Linked DNA regions of Macaca fascicularis. The protein of the gene in region 3 interacts with the protein of the main gene of each other region in a pairwise test. Links are inferred from orthologs where the notes say so. Each region holds a gene or a part of one and is shown on either strand. Other genes may lie near its edges.

Region 1 (2,953 bases), on a different chromosome or scaffold from region 3:
AGGAAACAAGGAAGCCCACCTGTGTGGTCCCAAATGTTGCAGGAACAATGCTCACACCAGACACCTTCCTCCTTCTCCCTGCAGCTTCTGGGCTCCCACAGACAGATGCCCTCCTCTAGTGCCTCAAGGGGCAGGCCTTGGCTGCCAGCCTGAGGATGCCCAGAGCTCCCCTCCTCCCCTAGGTTCCCATGTTCCCCCAGTTCTTGCCTCTCCTGCTGGCTGGCTGGGAAGGCCCTCAAGGATGGGGCCCAGGACAGGAGGAAAGGGTGACCCAGACCCCCACCAAGCTGGACAGGCAGATGGTAGGCAGGACACACCTCTGCAATCTCTGGTAAGTGACAAGCAGAGGCCTCCCAGGGACAAGAGCTGAGAAGGAGCCCCTGGCTGGGCTGGGACTGCCAAACAGCTGGCTCAGTGCCCCAGGGCAAGCCCAGATAAGGTGACATAGTGGCAAATGTCTCTCCTGGGCAAGCCTGGAACGCTTCACAAAATAGCTCTTCAGCTGAAGCCAACTTGGAAAATTCCAGGGAAAAGGAAATTTACTATGGGGCGGGAATAGCTGAGCCTTAGCTTGGAACATCCAGAGCTCAACCTGGGGTCCCAAAAGCCACTAGAAGGTCGACCCAGCCCCCAGAGCCTGCACAGGCTTTGCAGGCACAGAGGCCCAAGCTTTAGGCAGGTCGCTGGCTTACAGGGGAGAAAATAGTCCCTGGGAGCATGAAGGAGGGACTCGGCCAGGCCCACCAAGAGGGAGTCCTTTAATAGAGATCGGCACAGACAGGAGACACAACAGCCCGGGCGCCCTGCTCGCACAGGCTGGGGCCCTGAGCCAACAGATGCAGTGGCTTCCTCCTCCCCACCTGGGTGTGGAACCATGGGGTGGAGACGGAGAGGTGGCTTTAAAAAACACAGCTGTACTAATTCTTCACTTTCACAGAAACGGGGAACTTGGGAGCGCAGCCCGCTAGAGAATCTTTATACAGAGCTGAATCTGAGAGCCCACCCACCCCCCTTGGCCGGGCCAAAGCTCATTGTCCCCCACCCACTGGAGGTTCCTCCCTGATCTGTCTGCACATGGGAAGGAGCAGAGTGCACAGGGAGACCGGGCTGTACAACAGGAACATGCTGGCTGGACAGCTGGCTCCCCTTTCCCAGCTGTTAGTGTTTCTACACTATGTACATTGTTGTGCTTTGTAGCTCCCCCACCCCGAGGATTCTGCCTGAAGCTGGGGTGGGGAGAGGAACCCGACACGACACACGGCTGGGCTGCCAGAGCTCCAGGCCCCCAAGAGGCTGCCATTCAGCGAGGTTCCAAGAGCTGGACTGCCAGGCACAGGGACCACTGGAGCCAAAGGCGCAGGGGACAGAGCCAGCCCCGCCAGATGCCCAGCTCTGCCCAGTGGAGGAGTTGTTGAAACAGAAGGATCAATGCTGGACAAGAAGCAGGCTGGGCGGGGGCAGGCAGGGGTGGAAGGACAAGGTGTGAGGCTGTGAGACCAGGGGTGTGAGGTGTGCGTGGACAAGGCTGGAGAGGGCTGGGCAGGGGCACCTCAGCAAAAACCGTTCTGCAGCAGCAGGCTTGGTAGAGGGAGGTGGCGAGGGCTGCCGGGCTGGGAGCCCCTCCAATCGAGCACAGGGCTGGCGGCAGAAGGCTCTGGCTCCAGGTGTGTTTTGGGGGAGGTTTGGGAGAGACCACCGGGTGTCTCAGGGGGCTGGGCATGAAGGGCAGGGCTGTGGTGACATCTGTGAGCGTGTCCCCGCCGGGCCTGGGGTAAACACAGGATCAGTTGTTCTCAAACAGAGAGAGCAGGTCGTCATTGTTGTTTGTGGGGAGGTCGGGCGGTCCCAAGTAGGACAGTAGCTCATCAGGGTTGGTCAGTTCTGGGAGCAGCTGAGGACAAAGTGAACTATGTTAGCAGCTTTGGTCACTGGCCACACCTGAGTGACCATCCTGTCACCACATCCCATCCAGGTGCAGTGGGGATGCTGAGCAGCCCCTCCCCACACACAGGCTGGGTGCGGGGCCCCACTATAGGCCTGCATGTGCTCAAGGAGGCACACGCCACCCCCGGGACCTCCCTGCAAGGCTGCTGAGGCCAGAACAGCTCGCAACATGCTGTTCAATACCACCAGGAAATGGGATGTGAGGGAGCACAGCCACTCCACACATTCTCTGTGCACCGGCCTGCGTGGGGATCCCCACCGTGATTCCCCAAGGTGAATGCTGGTGGTGGAATTCCATGCCCCTAGGATTTTCTGCTTGGAGCTGTTCTTCCTAACTTTTTTCATGTTGAACTTCAATGAGTTTCTATTATGGTCCAGGGACAGTCAGTCCTGTCTTCCATGTACTGAGTGTGCACTCCCATTCTACCTGTGAGTCAAGGCCCAGGGCTACTGAGCAAATGGACAGATGAAATCTGACTCAAAGGACCGTGCTGTCAGCTTCCAGCACAGTCTCCTCTGAGGACTCTGCGTCGCCCGTATGGCATCCAGGCCCCTCATGAACACAAATGTGGTACATCGCATCCCACCCACAGCTACTCCAGGTATCTGACTCGTGAACAAAAGCTGCATTTAGTTGATCTCATCTGACCGGCTCTCTGAGGGGTCACTGTCTTCCCTTCCACAACACACTCGGAACCCAGGGACAACAGACACACCACCTCTAGCCCTGGCTCCCACGCACTCCCTGGCATGGGGCCTGGTACTCACGTCCAGAGCTGGTTCCGGGGCCTCCCCAGCTCCAGACATGCTGGGGGGCCCCATCACGCCTGTGGCAGGACTGAAGGCCAGTTCACCCGTGGGCCCTAAGCTCGCTTGGCCCAAGGACTGCCGGGACGCTGAGGGAGGGTTTGAATGGTGCAGCTGGGGACCCGGAGGGGCCCCAAGGTTGGAGGTGTGTAGTCCTGGTGTCCCAGGATTGTGAGTGGGGTCCAGGTGACCTGCTGGTGCC
Region 2 (4,118 bases), on a different chromosome or scaffold from region 3:
TTAGATTCGCCAGACCTGTTTCTTGCTGCTGCTTCCTGTATTTGACTAGTTATGAAATTAAAGAACAACAATATAAAGCAATCTAATTATAAAAACAATATTGCTTTTATAGATGAAATATACGTAAATATATATAGATGATATACAGATATATCCTGCCTTTAGAATGTAAAACTTTTTCTAGAGTGTTTTTTGAAATTTTGCTTTCAATTGACTTGGTTAACGATTTTTTATTTTTTAGCTTGTGGGGATATATTTAGATAATATTAGAATATTGCTATAATAAAATGATGTATCTTACATTCTAAGATGCTACTATTGATGATTGACTTAGGCAAATGCTTCCACTTCTTATGTACTCATCTTTTCTTGCCTGTTAGTGGACTTGTAAGAATAGGAGTAACATTCCTACACCTCAGTCCTAACCAAAGATCTGTAGATTCACCGTGGCCATCATACTTAATAATTCATTATTCTTTTTATCCTTTGTTAGCTGGTTTTGCTATAATATAATAGTAATTCATTGATTCCTTTTGAACTTTTTAGTGCAAAAAACCTTAAAATAAGTTACAGAAATTGAACTTTAAGGCCACTAGGTTTTAAGAAAATGTTGTAAATCACTTGAGCATTGAGGATATCCTTTTAATATTTAATTTGTGATTTCAGGACTTAGTATTCTTATACAACAGTAGATTATTAGTAATGCTAAGTTCATGTAAAAGAAAATCAGAGTTCTCTATATCCCCCCAAAATTAGAATAATAATCCTCTGTTTTAAAAATCAGTGCCCTCTAGGCCAGGCAGAGTACCTCATGCCTGTAATCCCAGCACTTTGGGAGGTTGAAGCGGGCGGATCACTTGAGGTCAGGAGTTTGAGACCAGCCTGGTCAGCATCGTGAAACCCTCTCTCTACAAAAATACAAAAATTAGCCAGGTGTGGTGGTGCACACCTGTAATCCCAGCTACTCAGGAGACTGAGGCACAAGAATCGCTTGAACCTGGAGGGGTGCAGGTTGGAGTGAGCTGAGATCACGCTACTGCACTCCAGCCTGGACAACAGTGAGACTGTCTCAAAAAAAAAAAAAAACAAAAAAAAACTGATGCCTTCTACTTTTGAGAACTATAGGTATGAGAGGAATCTATAGCCAATTTGCTCTGCAACATAAAAATTTATGATCTTTCTCACTATAATCAAATGTAAATAAGTGAGATTTTTTTTTTCCCTTGCTGAAGTATGGGACTATATTGGAAAAAGATGTTTTGGTTATGGAGAAAGACATTAGTGGTCCTGATAATTCAGACAGATGGTGTTTCTGTTGGCTGGGTTAGATCTTATGTCCTGAGGAGCCCTACCAGAGAGGGTAGGTCATCTCCAAATGTTGAAGAGTAAGTGGCCCTTTTACAGTGCCGTGTCAGTAACCAGGAAGGTAAAGAGATTGTGGGCTTTGGTAATACTAACTGTAAAATCACAGTGGTAGACAGTCATCAGAGACCTATATATGCATACAAGTTATTCAGCACCAACACCAAGATACATCCTGTATTTAGAACGTAAAACTTTTTCTAGAGTGTTTTTTGAAATTTTGCTTTCTGTTGACTTGGTTAACAAATTATTGTTTCCTGTGGATCTCTAAATTTGAGGCACTAACGGAAACAAACTAGAACCAAGCTATGATCATTTCTATTATATGAGCCAATCAGAAGAGTTACTTGTTCTGTCTGGCTATATATTGTTAAATTCTATATGGTAATGTGAAAGAATGCTTCAGCTTAGAGCACCTCTCCCTCCCCTACGTACCTGCCCACACGTTTCTCAGCGGAGTTCTTATTGCCACAGCCTTTGGAGTAAAACCGCTCAGAGCTAGATAGCTGTAGCTCCCCAGTTTTCATCTATAAAATGAAAATAAGAGAGATGAGGATTAAGGGAAATTATATACACAGCACTTTGCAGCCTAATACCGGATACAAGGTAAGCACTCAATCAATGGTATGCTGAATTATTTTATCCTACATTAATGTATTTGAAAAAAACATATTATAACTGGGGATGATTAATATGTCATTACAGATGTTTTTCCCCTTTTCCCTAGGATGAAAATGGGATAAATAGACCAGTCTGTTCCTACGTTAAACCACTTCGAGCTGGACGGCTTCTTGATACTCCAAGGCAAGCAGCAAGATTTGTTAATGTCCTTGGTTATGAACGAGCCCCTGTTATTGGAGGAGGAGGTAAACAGGAGCAGTGGTGCACTCTGCTGGCCTTTCTCTGTAGAAGCAAGGTATTATACACACATAATAGAATTAAGTAGCAGTATATCATAGTTGCTCTGAATTTGTAATCCATTTGTAAAATAATGCCTTAGGAAAATGTACATATAGTCAACCCTCTGTACCCACAGGTTCTGTATCTGTAGATTCAACCAACTGCAGAGCAAAAATATTTATAAAAGTGAAAAATAACACAATAATAAATAATAGTACAAATATAAAACAATGGAGTATAACAACTGTTTATGTAGCATTTACATTGTATTGAGATTTTTAAGTAATTTAGAGGTGATTTAAAGTACATAGGAGGATGTGCTTAGGTTATATGTAAAATACCATTTTGACTGGGTGCAGTGGCTCATGCCTGTATCCCAGCATTTTGGGAGGCTGAGGCGGGTGGATCACCTGAGGTCAGGAGTTCAAGACCAGTCTGGGCAACATGGTGAAACCCTATCTCTACTAAAATACAAAAAATTATCTGGGTGTGGTGTCACGTGCCTGTAATCCCAGCTACTCAGGAGGCTGAGGCAGGAGAATCGCCTAGACCTGGGAGGTGGAGGTTGCAGTGAGCCAAGATTGCGCCATTGCACTCCAGCCTGAGGACACAGCAAGACTCCATCTCAAAAAAAAAAAAAAAAACTGTATACCATTTTATATAAGCCTTGAGTATCCATGGATTTTCTTTTGCAAGGGTCCTGGAACTAACTAACCCCTTTGGGTACCGTGAGACAGCTGTGCTATCAACTTGACCACGTCAGAACCTTGTTCTGTTTTTCATAACATTTAAATATCAATACACAAAAAACTCAGCATCTTTATTTTCTCATGTGGTTTCTTATTTAACTTATTGTGATTTCTGTGATGTAGGGACCTACAAGTACTAAAGTGTCAGAAATCAACTTACAGAATGAATTAGAGACAGCACCAGGACCAGACCATGGCTTTCTGGTACTATTGATGTGTTGAAATTTGCTCAGATAATACATCTTTAAAAAAGAGAAAATGGGGCCAGGTGCGGTGGCTCATGCCTGTAATCCCAGCACTTTGGGAGGCCTAGGTGGGCGGATCACCTGAGGTGATCGAGATCAGCTTGACCAATGTGGAGAAATCTTGTCGCCACTAAAAATACAAAATTAGCTGGGCGTGGTGGCACATGCCTGTAATCCTAGCTACTCAGGAGGCTGAGGCAGGAGAATTGCTTGAAACTGGCAGGCAGAGTTTGCTGTGAACTGAGATTGCGCCATTGCATTCCAGCCGGGCAATAAGAGCGAAACTATCTCAAAAAAAAAACAAAAACAAAAAGATAAAATGGCAGTACAAAATGAATATAGAAAAGAAATCTTGAATGGCATGCTATTTTGTTTAGTTTTACATACAAATGTATATTTAATTACACTTTTTGAATGACTTGATTTCAGTAAACTAATTTTATAGATTATGGGATATTTCCTAATCTGTATTCTAAAAATGTTGATAGTATGATAACAAACAAGTAAAACTATCTTTACGCTGGGTGTGGTGGCTCACGCCTGTAATCCCAGCACTTTGGGAGGCTGAGGCGGGCGGATCATGAGGTCAGGTGATCAAGACCATCCTGACTAATACAGTGAAACCCTGTCTCTACTAAAAATACAAAAAATTAGCCGGGCGTGGGAGCATGCACCTGTAATCCCAGCTACTCGGGAGGCTGAGGCAGGAGAATTGCTTGAACCTGGGAGGTGGAGGTTGCAGTGAGCCGAGATCACGCCACTGCACTCCAAACGGGGCGACAGAGCAAGTTAAAATATGTATATACACATATATGTGTGTGTGTATGTATATGTATATAACAACAGCATTAACAGTAATGGT
Region 3 (4,897 bases):
TCTGCTCCCTTGGAGATTTCAGACTCCTGAGAGAAGCAGAAAGCTATGTTCCTTCTCTCCTTTCCTTTCCTGGAAGGAAATAAATGATGGAAACAGTGGGGTGAGAGGATGACAGGACTCAGTCTATTCCATGGAGGAATTAGAAGTTTTCCTAGGCTCAGTACCCCCATTTCTCCTACAATGGTCTAGTGATAAATAATGACACCTGTCTACCACAGGGAAGTTAACAGGATGAATTAGATAATGTCAGCCACAAGAGTTCCAAGGGTAGACTTGAGAAAACCACCCGGGGCCCTGACACCAAAGGACTGGATAAATAATGGAGATTCAGTGAACTCCAAAGCAAAGATGAGAGCATTTTCCAAAACTCTTCAGATGTAATGTGGATACCTGCCTCAATTATTACTAGCAGCACCCCCTGCCACCTGCTGTCTCCCTTTTCCTTTCTTAGTATTACCAAACTAGCCTGGAATCGTGTAAGGGAAGAAATGCATAAACCTTCAAATTTGCAGCCAAACCTGTGAGTGAGCTTTATTTTGCTTTTCTCTGCAGATAAAGCCATCAGAGATTTACATTACTAACCCTAAAAGGGGAAAATACTTCCCACTTTTCCAACTGATAGCGTTTCAGATGCTATCTCAGCCAGAAGAGTAAAACAGAAATCACGCTAAAATAAAGGGGCCCAGGCATTATTGCCAGAAGATAGGGCATATCCAGAATATTCTATGCACAGTAGCTCAGTAGCACTCAACTACAGGTAGGAACATCACAGTCAGAAGTTAAAGAAAAATAAATGAATCACCCTCAGTGTGCAGGCTGAGCAGGAGATACTTGGTTGTTGCCAAACAATGTATTGTGGAGATGGAGGGATTCTTTTTTTTGAGACGGAGTCTCGCTCCAGGCTGGAGTGCAATGGCGCGATCTCAGTTCACTGCCACCTCTGCCTCCCAGGTTCAAGGGATTCTCCTGCCTCAGCCTCTGGAGTAGTTGGGATTACAGGCACCCACCACTATGCCCAGCTAATTTTCGTATTTTTAGTAGAGACAGAGTTTTGACATGTTGGTCAGGCTGGTCTCAAACTCCTGACCTTAGGTGATCTGCCCACCTTGGCCTCTCAAAGTGCTGGGATTACAAGCGTGAGCCACCGCGCCCAGCCTAATTTTTGTGTTTTTAGTAGAGATGGGGTTTCACCATGTTGGCCAGGGTGGTCTCCATCTCTTAACCTCATGATTCGCCCACCTTGGCCTCCCAAAGTGCTGAGATTACAGGTGTGAGCCACCATGCCCAGCCATGGCTATTTTAAATGAGATTCCTTGAGATCAATCACTTTTTTTTTTTTTTTTCATGATAGCAGTTTGGTGGCATATTGTGTCTTTACTGATATAGAGGAAACAATGTTAGGCTACTGTCAGATGCACCTGGATTCCAGGCCTGTGTCTGATACATCATAGCTGTGCAACTTTGGAGAGGTTACTTAACCTCACTGGGCCTTTTGATTCATCTATAAAGGGGCTCAACTATAAGTTGGAGTAGGAAAGCCTACTGTGTTCATCTTGGAGTTATAATATTCAAAATACATTACAAATGAAAATATTCTATAAATTATAAAGAGCTATACATATATTACTCATAATCAGGACACATCAGAAGGTTCTTATTTCAGTTTATACCCCAGAAGCAGCTACATTATCAGAGGGGCATAGAAATATGACAGAACCAAAAAGCACAGTGAAGATCTTGGAAGAAGAGTTAGAGAAACAAGCCAGGGACAGTTTCTGAACAGACAGCACAGGGAGAGACCCAGAGCTCTTGCAGGGAGGAGAGGGTTAAATCCTTTCCTCTGCAGTACAAAAGAAAAGAGTGTGCGGAAAGATTAGGATTTTTGCTTTTACAATGGGAGCTGCAGAAGCGTAGGGAAGAAGCTGAAGAAAAAAAGGGGGCGTCTCCCCTTTAAAGACTTGCAAAGATTGAGAGAGAAAGAGAGAGAGAGTCAAGAACAGAGAATCAGAGAGAGAGAGAGAGTCTGTCTGTCTCTGGGAAAGGAGAACATCTCTGCTTCACAGTGATTTGCGCTGGGGGAGAGGCATCAATTGGCTTCGGACCCAAGGGGGAGAGGAGACCAGGTCACCCCGGTTAAGACTAAGTGAGCGTTGCCCCTCCCTCTCCCAACTCTCTACCCGGGAATGTCTCGGCGAAAGCAGCGGAAACCCCAACAGTTAATCTCGGACTGCGAAGGTCCCAGCGCGTCTGAGAACGGTGGGTGCCTGGGGAGGGGTGGGGGGCCCCTAAGTCCAAGCCTGTGTGGGTCAGGCCAGGGCAAGGGGAGGGCACTCGGGCCATGGGCGAAACCAGGCGGGGGCGGACTTGGTCACTGGGGGTTTAAAGGAGTTGAGATGCAGGGAGTAAAGAGATGACCTGCGCTGGGGAGAAGCCCCGCTTGTTACTTGGGATTGATTCTGTTTGTGTTTTCCTTGTTTTTCTCTGGATGAAATGGAGTTTTCAAACTGGCTCTGTCTCCCCACCCAAGAGTTTTCTCCTCAGGTCTCCCTTGGCTCACTGGTCTTTGTGCCGTTGCTAAGTAACGTCCTCAGACCTGAAGACCGTCTCTTAGGGGTGGGATTTTCCCCCCTTTTCTTTCTGGAGAGTTGGGTTGCAAGAGAATGAATTGGATAAACGTGAAGGCTCCCCTGAGGGAGATGAGAAAAAAGTTTCTCATTGTTGGGCTGAACTGAGAGCCGATCAGAGCTCCCAGAGGGAGAGAGCTAATGTCGGTCAGAATGCAGCCTGGTTTGGGGTATGTATGTGTGTCACCTGGAGGAGAGCTGAAGGCTAGGTCTGGATGAGGGGCTTAGGTTTGTGCTTCAAGGAAAGCAAAGCAAAAAAAAAAAAAAACAAAAAAAAAAAAAAAAAAACAGTGCAAGAAAATACACCTGTTACTACGCGCGTATCATTTTATGAGGATACCGTGTTTTTGAAGCAACAGGTGTCCCTTATGAGGGGGAAAAAATTGTATGTATTCTTGTAACATTCCGTTAAGTGACAGGCAGACAGTAGAGCAAGCAGGGAACTGAAGAGTGAAATTGCCCAGAGTCTGAGAGACAGAGGCAAAATCAGGACAAAAACTTAAATTTCCTAATGCTCAGGGCTGGTGGTGCTCACTCCACTAAACCTGGGTTTTAAAAACTTGCCTGATTGTGAGTACATCTGAGCCAGGGTGTGGGAATCTATATATTTTGCAAGTCTCCAGGTAATTCTTAGGATCAAAGAAGTTTTGGACATACTTGTCAGTGGTATGGCTCCATATGTGCAGACTGAAAGTCTGGAAGTCCTGGCTCCAGAGAGGCAACTGTTCAGCATACAGTTGATACACCCAACAGTATAGTATAGGATTAAGCACAAGGGTTCTGAAACCAGACTTTTAGACAAATCCCAGCTCCACCACTTGGTTAGCTATGTGACCTTGACTGGTTTATTTTGTCTCTCTATGCTTCAGTTTCCTCATCTGTAAAATGGAGATGTGTATACTAGCTACCTCATTAAGTTGTTGTGAAAATCAAAATGAGTTAATATGTGTAAAACCCTTGGAAAAATACCTAGCATAAATAAGTGCTTAATACATGTAGTAAAGTACCTAGCATAAATAAGTGCTTAATACATGTAGTAAAGTACCTAGCATAAATAAGTGCTTAGTATGTGTGAATATTGTTATTATCATTATATGTGAATGCAGTGGCACTTCCTGCAAGTGCTGTAATATGACCAAAACTCAGGAACCTCTTGGCAAATGTCAGCATTTCTTTATGAGACATGTGTCATGAAAAGCTCCAAGATAGTGTATTGGTGGCGATTAAAATTATAGATTAAACTTGCCTTTCCACCTGTTAAAAAACAAAAGCTTGAGGTCAGATCAGTGCTCCATGTGCTACAAAATAACCTTAACAGACATATTATGTTTTGGGCAGAACACATCCTCCCCGAATCACTGCTTTTCTGGGATCCTACTGTGCCCATATTTAGAGGTTCTGTGGCGATGGCATCCTTCCCTCCTGAGACACATTAGCCCTTCTTAATGCTGCTATAGGCCGGATGTTTCCTACTTGTGCTCTACAGGAGACTTCCCCTAGAGCCTCAACTCTTCCCCAGAGTTGCCTCACAGTTCTGCTCTCCTGCTGGTTTGATTGTGGAACTATGCTGAACACCCCTCCAAGCCCCCAAGAAGCATCCTCTCCTCTTCTTCCTACTTCTCCCATCTGCTCACCCATTCCCCATACCATAGCTGAGGAAAAATCTTCTGTGAGGGAGTCAAAAACTATCTTTAGCAGCTGTCCTGAATGGATTTTCAAGCCCTTTAAGATATAGCTCCCACTTGGAGGCATGGTAATGCTGCTACAAAGTCATCCCCATAGAAACAGTAAAGCTTTAAACCCAATGGCATCAACAAATTTTTGATGAAAATTTGCCTTTGAGCTCTGAAAGGCAGAAACAAATGTAAGGAGCAAGGAAGCAGTAGTACCCTCTGTTGAGATCTACCTTAAGAAAGCTCATCGGAATTCCCCTGGAGCGAAAGATCCTAGGCTACTTATGATCTGGATGTCATTGGGCCTCATCTGCAAAATGAGGTGGCTCTATTTTATCGTATCTGAAATTCCTCCTTGATCTTACAAGCTTACAATATGTAAATTTCACATTTTCTGCTTTTCTTTTAAATTAATACATTTCCTTAATCATGAATGGGGCAGCATCCATTCTACAAAATAGAATGAGAGCTCTCCTTTTCCCTAATTTTTTATAGACAGGGTTTCTATTCACTTATGTGACCTTCACACATCTGACTTCCTTCTACCCCACAGCATGCCCCACAGTTAGGTAGGAAGGGCTTTTATTTAGGGGTACACTG

What was found.
Region 1: the proteins of SALL2 (region 3) and ZMIZ2 interact in binary tests that used the Homo sapiens proteins (3 or more experiments, as listed by UniProt). The two-hybrid records come from large-scale screens. The link is inferred for Macaca fascicularis from reciprocal best matches to the Homo sapiens genes SALL2 and ZMIZ2.
Region 2: the proteins of SALL2 (region 3) and CEP76 interact in binary tests that used the Homo sapiens proteins (3 or more experiments, as listed by UniProt). The two-hybrid records come from large-scale screens. The link is inferred for Macaca fascicularis from reciprocal best matches to the Homo sapiens genes SALL2 and CEP76.

Annotation. Positions count from the first base shown.
Region 1 is NC_088377.1:85,574,104-85,577,056, forward strand, and holds the end of ZMIZ2 (zinc finger MIZ domain-containing protein 2), read right to left. Parts: coding exon 2,713-2,953; intron 1,892-2,712; coding exon 1,784-1,891; 3' UTR 739-1,783; downstream 1-738. UniProt on the Homo sapiens protein: Increases ligand-dependent transcriptional activity of AR and other nuclear hormone receptors.
Region 2 is NC_088392.1:80,746,319-80,750,436, reverse strand, and holds part of CEP76 (centrosomal protein of 76 kDa), read left to right. Parts: intron 1-2,089; coding exon 2,090-2,278; intron 2,279-4,118. UniProt on the Homo sapiens protein: Centrosomal protein involved in regulation of centriole duplication. Required to limit centriole duplication to once per cell cycle by preventing centriole reduplication.
Region 3 is NC_088381.1:89,210,339-89,215,235, reverse strand, and holds the start of SALL2 (sal-like protein 2), read left to right. Parts: upstream 1-1,875; 5' UTR 1,876-2,183; coding exon 2,184-2,256; intron 2,257-4,897. UniProt on the Homo sapiens protein: Probable transcription factor that plays a role in eye development before, during, and after optic fissure closure.